Linked DNA regions of Oryctolagus cuniculus. The protein of the gene in region 1 interacts with the protein of each later gene in a pairwise test. Links are inferred from orthologs where the notes say so. Each region holds a gene or a part of one and is shown on either strand. Other genes may lie near its edges.

Region 1 (2,467 bases):
GGTGCAGAGGCTGAGATGCCATGTGGGAAGCCTGCATCCAAATTGGAGGGTCTGGTTTGAGTCCACCTCTGTTTCTTACTCCATCTCCCTGCTAATGTACACTATGGGAGGCAGGCAGCAGGCGGTGGCTCTAGTACTTGGGTCGTCACCACCCACGTGGGAGACCAAGATTGAGTTCTGGGCTCCTGGCTTTGGCCCGAGACCAGCTGTTGTGGGCATTTGGGGAGTGAACCAGCAGGTGGAAGACTTTTCTATTTCTCTGTCTCTCTCTCAAATGAAATAAAAATAAATAAATTTTTAATTTTTTTTTCATCAGAATATTGGAAAACCAAAAGCTAGCAGCCACAGAAGCACGAGTAACAGACTTTGTTCTTGTGGTTATTGGCATCTTTAGGTTGGGAAGCAGGTTCTCAGCTGATCACAGGCACTGAGAGACATCTGCCATTTCCCATCTAGTGAAATTAAGAGGACCCACGCACACACATCCCAAGGAGGCATGTACCCCTGGTCATTCATCCCTAGAACCGCCTACTGGGAGCCAGGCACCGATCTCAAAACTGCTTGGTTGGAGCACTTCTGCTCTTTGTCTTTCGGTTCAGACTTTAATGATCTGTAGACAAATCTTTGGGAAGATGGCCTCTGAAAGGGGTCGCACACCTGCTTTTTAATATGAAGAAGCCTTGTGCAGCATCAGTGCTTTGCACTTCCTCATTTGTTTGCCTGTCTGGTGTCCTGTCTGCTCTGTAGATTCTACTAAATCAACAGGGTGAACGGCTGTCATGTGTGTGTGTGTGTGTGTGTGTGTGTGTGTGGTGGGGGTGATGGGCACACCCACCATGCCCCCACAGGTGACAATAGGAGCCCTACTTGGGAGCCTCTAGGGTTAAACACACAGGGAGAGGCATGTCTGCTGGGTTCCCAGACCACGATCAGCCCCCACTGCCTCCTAGCCTTGCCCCTAGGAGGGAGGTGAGAAGCATCCAGGTTCACACTCGCTCTTGAAATGTAGCTGAGGGTGTTTCTGAATTTCTCTGCAGTGAACCCAACACGCCTGTCCCTGTGTGCTGGCTTCCTCCCAGCGTTCTGGGGTTGCTATGGCCAGAGCCAGGGCAAGAACACAAAGTGCTCCCCTTGTCACCCCCTAGAGGCCAAGGAGAAGCTGGCTGTGGTAGACTAGGGCCTTTGAACGTGACAGAACCATACAGAGTGGAGGGTGGGTCGTCACACAGAGGCAAGGAAGGGAGCGTGGAAAGTCTGCTCCTGCCCCTCCCTCCGCTGAAACGCACAGGGGAGAAACCAGTGTTCTGAGAACTCTCTCCGGGTCATTCCCATGAGCATCCTCCTGGACATCTGTAGGTTGTGAGGATGGCTTTGGCTGCCAGTAGGGTTTGATTCCAGTTGCTCTCGGCTTCTCTCACTCACTGGGGGTGGAGTGTGACTTCTCAACCCCTTGGGGCAGTGACCGAGGGGACGCAGTGAAAGTACTCATAATGAAGCGTCTTCAAGCTTCATTAAAGCAGAGACCCCCGGACTCCAGTCCCAAGTCACCCTTCCCCCACGTGTATCCTATATTCTTATGAGCCAATTCCCATAAGCAACCACGCATGCCTGAGAAAGAAGAATCCATTCCACAGCCGAGCTGGCATAAAGAGAAGCGCGATGGTTTACTCTCAATCACAAGAGACCAAACCCATACTTGTTAAAGTCCCCTGTCCCTGCCACCTTTCTACTGCTCATAGACTCCATCCTGGCCCACTGTGCCTTTTCTCCTGTTCCTCTCTCCTGTCTTCCACGATTCTCCGAGGTGACCCACTTAGCCCTGGGGATAGGAGCTGGGCTGTGGACGTCCCGGCATTATTGGAAGCGCACCGCCAGCACGCGGCTGCTGCCTCCCTTCCTGTGTCTTCACTGTCTCCCTCCCTCCCTCCCTCTCCCCAGGACCAGCTCCAGGCCCAGGACTTCAGCAAATTCCAGCCGCTGAAGAGCAAGCTGCTGGAGGTGGTGGATGACATGCTGGCACACGACATTGCCCAGCTCATGGTGCTGGTGCGCCAGGAGGAGACCCAGCGGCCCGTCCAGATGGTGAAGGGAGGAGCGTTCGAGGGCACCCTGCACGGCCCCTTCGGGCATGGCTACGGGGAAGGGGCTGGGGAGGGCATCGACGATGCAGAGTGGGTGGTGGCCAGGGACAAGCCCATGTACGACGAGATCTTCTACACCCTGTCCCCGGTGGACGGCAAGATCACAGGCGCTAATGCGAAGAAGGAGATGGTGCGCTCCAAGCTGCCCAACAGTGTGCTGGGCAAGATCTGGAAGCTGGCAGACATTGACAAGGACGGCATGCTGGATGACGAGGAGTTCGCCCTGGCCAACCACCTCATCAAAGTCAAGCTGGAGGGGCACGAGCTGCCCAACGAGCTGCCCGCCCACCTCCTGCCCCCCTCCAAGAGGAAAGTCGCTGACTGAC
Region 2 (3,813 bases), on another chromosome or scaffold:
ATACCTGGGGCCATCACCTGTGGCCTCCCAGTGGACTTCAGCCGGGAGCTGGATTGGCGCTGCCCCGGGGGACGTGGGTCTCCCTGCAGGGTGTCCACCTCTGGGGTTGTGCTGTGATGGACGGTGCACAGCAGACCCCAGGGAGTCAGAGGACGCAGCTGAGTCTCACAGGAGCCCAGGTCGAGGTGGGGTGGGGGAGGGCCCTGCCCCCGCCCTCCCTGTCACCCCAGGCACTGCCTCCCCCCCCACCCCCGCACCTGTGCTGTTGCCTTCTTGTTCCCCTCGGCTACCCGCAGTGGGAGTTCCCCCTCCCCTGCCCCACTTTACTGAGCTCAGCGGGGCCGGGCGCCTTGCCCTCCGCACATGGCCGGCCGTGCAGCTCCCAGCACACCCCTGTGCCCGGCCCTCCTCCAGGCCTGGGCCTCCAGGGTCTCCACGTGCCTCAGGGCCCCTCTCCTGTCTCTTGGCAGCTGGCGTGTCACCCCCCAGAAGGGACCCGGCAGCCTCCTCTCCGCCGGCTCTAGCGCCCCCTACAGAGGAACCGGGACAGGAGACTCAGGTAGGCAGGCATGGGGTGGGAAGGGGGTAGGGGGCAGCTGTCATGGCGGCGACTGTCACGCGGGGACTCTGGTCAGAGGATGTTCTCTGCCCTCGTCCCCGTGGGCCAGGGTGCCCTCCCGATTCCTGATCCAGTGTGACGGTTCAGTTCCGCAGGCAGCTCGGGGAGGTGGGTGCTGCAGGCCCCGAAACGCAGATGAGGAACCTAGGCTCAGGGAGGTTTAGTCATTTGCCCAAGGTCACTCAGCAGGGAAGCGGGGGCCGTGCTGCCTGTTCCAAAAAGCTTAGAGGAAGTGAGAGCAGCGCTTTGTACTGAGGGGCTCCGGGGAGGCTGGGATGGAGGCTGGCAGGGCTGTACCAGTCCAGTTTCCCCCGGGGGGATCCCAAGGCCCAGAGACTCGGGCAGCTGGCTCAAGGTCCCAGAGCTAGGAAGGGGAGAAGACAGATGAGGTGGGCCCAGGAGGCCAGTGGTCTGTCAGTCCCAAAGGGGAGGGCCCCAGGAACCAGGAACCACAGGTTTCCATCCTGGCTCCGGGCCTTGAGCGAGTCTCCCCCCTTTCTGCCCTTGGCTCCCGCAGGTGGGGGCAGGAGGCAGCCTGCTGTCCTCTGCCCTCTGCATCACCACCAGGAAGCTTGGCGCACGGGGGAGGAGGGGGACGGGGGGAGTGTTCTGGAACAGGGTGGCTGTGACCGGGCCCCCACCCCCTCTCCGCCTGTCCTGTGCCCTGCAGGTCGAGCAGCTCTCCTCGGGCAGCCTGTCGGAGCAGGGCACCCACCGGACTCCCAGCAGCACCTGCGCGGCCTGCCGGCAGCACGTGCACCTGGTGCAGCGGTACCTGGTGGAGGGCAGGCTCTACCATCGGCACTGCTTCCGGTGAGTGGCCAGGAGAGCTGGGGCAGGAGCCTGTTCCTACCATCCCCAGAGCCAGGGACTCGGCACCCACGCGTGGCTCATTCCCACTTCATCCATGAGCTCCCAGCAGCCCAAGCTCTTTGAGGGTGGCTACCTGTTGATGATTAAGGAACATCAAATACTTTTTAAAAAAAATCTTTTCTTTTGCCGGTGCTGGGGCTCACTAGACTAATCCTCCGCCTTGCGACGCCGGCACACCGGGTTCTAGTCCCGGTCGGGGCGCCGGATTCTGTCCCGGTTGCCCCTCTTCCAGGCCAGCTCTCTGCTGTGGCCCGGGAAGGCAGTGGAGGATGGCCCAAGTGCTTGGGCCCTGCACCCCATGGGAGACCAGGAGAAGCACCTGGCTCCTGCCTTCGGATCAGTGCAGTGTGCCGGCCGCAGCGCGCCGGCTGCGGCGGCCATTGGAGGGTGAACCAACGGCAAAGGAAGACCTTTCTCTCTGTCTCTCTCTCTCACTGTCCACTCTGCCTGTAAAAAAAAAAAAAAAAAAAAAACTTTTCTTTTTTTCTTTGTTTGAAAGGCAGAACGACAGAGTATTTCTGGTTCACTCCTAAGTGGGACAAAGGCCGGGGCTAGGTCAGGCCAAAGCCAGGAGCCCAGAACTCCGTCTAGGTCTCCGACCACCCGGGCCGTCTTCTGCTGCCTTCCCAGGTGCATTAGCAGGGAGCTGGATTGGAAGTGGAGCGCCCGGGACTTGAACCTGTGCTCATAGGGGTTGCTGGCACTGCAGGTGCCACTTAACCTGCTGCGCCACAGCACCAGCCACGGGAACAGTGTGTACTTTAAATGCCACTGAGAAAAGGGAAGAATTTTTTTAAAACCATAAGAACTTGCTTTAAGGGGAGTGAACCTGTGGATGGAAGATCCCTCGTTCTCTGTAACTCTGCCTTTCAGATAAATTTATTTTTTATTTTTTATTTATTTATTTATTTATTTTTGACAGGCAGAGTGGACAGTGAGAGAGAGAGAGAGAGAGAGAGAGAGAGAAAGGTCTTCCTTTGCCGTTGGTTCACCCTCCAATGGCCGCCACGGCCAGCGCTCTGTGGCCGGCACACCGCGCTGATCCGATGGCAGGAGCCAGGAGCCAGGTGCTTTTCCTGGTCTCCCATGGGGTGCAGGGCCCAAGCACCTGGGCCATCTTCCACTGCACTCCCTGGCCACAGCAGAGAGCTGGCCTGGAAGAGGGGCAACCGGGACAGAATCCGGAGCCCCGACCGGGACTAGAACCCGGTGTGCCGGCGCCGCTAGGCGGAGGATTAGCCTAGTGAGCCACGGCACCGGCCGCCTTTCAGATAAATAAGTAAATCTTAAAAAAAAGTGAGGCCGGCGCCGCGGCTCACTAGGCTAATCCTCCGCCTAGCGGCGCCGGCACACCGGGTTCTAGTCCCGGTCGGGGCGCCGGATTCTGTCCCGGTTGCCCCTCTTCCAGGCCAGCCCTCTGCTGTGGCCCGGGAGTGCAGTGGAGGATGGCCCAGGTGCTTGGGCCCTGCACCCCATGGGAGACCAGGAAAAGCACCTGGCTCCTGGCTCCTGCCATCGGATCAGCGCGGTGCGCCGGCCGCAGCGCGCCGGCCGCGGCGGCCATTGGAGGGTGAACCAACGGCAAAGGAAGACCTTTCTCTCTGTCTCTCTCTCTCACTGTCCACTCTGCCTGTCAAAAAAAAAAATAAAATAAAAAAAAAAAAAAAAAAAAAAAGTGAGAGAGAACTTTAAGTGTGTGACTCCCAGGGAAAGCCAGGCTTTAATAAAATGCACCAGGAGGCAAAGAAAATAAGAAACTTAGTAAATTGATGAAAACATCGTACACGTCACCAAAACAGCCCAACCAAAAACAGCAGAGAAGGAAACGGAACGGCCAGGAGAGGCCGACGACTGGATTCCAGCCTGCACCTGCTGTGGGTTAGTGCGGTGCCTGCGAGGGGACCCAGCGCAGAACTGGGGCGTCCTGGGGAGGAGCCGCAGGTTGCAGTAAACGCACTCGCAAAGGAAGCCAGAGGCGCTCCCGGCACACACAGCCGTGACGGGAGCTCGAGTCTGCGCGTGCACGGCTGGAGGCAGGGTCTGGGAGAACGGCCGGACTTTGCCGCCTTCTGGACTCGTTTGGGTGAAAGCCATTGATTGGACTTCCTGCCACGGCCACGTGGCCACACGCGCACTGTGTGGCACCTCTGCCGGGGACCCCGGCTTCTTCCTCTTGCAGCGCACGCCGGAGGCGCGTTTCACAATTCCTGTGGCCTATTGCACGTGACTTTAACTGTTCCACTCTGCTCCTGAGGGGTGCCGTTTTCCTTTTCCTCTGGGAGGTGCAGGGCGCTGCGCTGGGGTCCCTCTGGCCGGCAGTT

The links.
Region 2: the proteins of EHD3 (region 1) and MICALL1 interact in binary tests that used the Homo sapiens proteins (3 or more experiments, as listed by UniProt). The link is inferred for Oryctolagus cuniculus from reciprocal best matches to the Homo sapiens genes EHD3 and MICALL1.

Annotation. Positions count from the first base shown.
Region 1 is NC_091433.1:171,394,681-171,397,147, reverse strand, and holds part of EHD3 (EH domain-containing protein 3), read left to right. Parts: intron 1-1,938; coding exon 1,939-2,466; 3' UTR 2,467-2,467. UniProt on the Homo sapiens protein: ATP- and membrane-binding protein that controls membrane reorganization/tubulation upon ATP hydrolysis. In vitro causes tubulation of endocytic membranes. Binding to phosphatidic acid induces its membrane tubulation activity.
Region 2 is NC_091442.1:114,741,286-114,745,098, forward strand, and holds part of MICALL1 (MICAL-like protein 1), read left to right. Parts: intron 1-470; coding exon 471-559; intron 560-1,289; coding exon 1,290-1,432; intron 1,433-1,438; exon of another isoform or gene 1,439-2,793; intron 2,794-3,172; exon of another isoform or gene 3,173-3,742; intron 3,743-3,813. UniProt on the Homo sapiens protein: Lipid-binding protein with higher affinity for phosphatidic acid, a lipid enriched in recycling endosome membranes. On endosome membranes, acts as a downstream effector of Rab proteins recruiting cytosolic proteins to regulate membrane tubulation.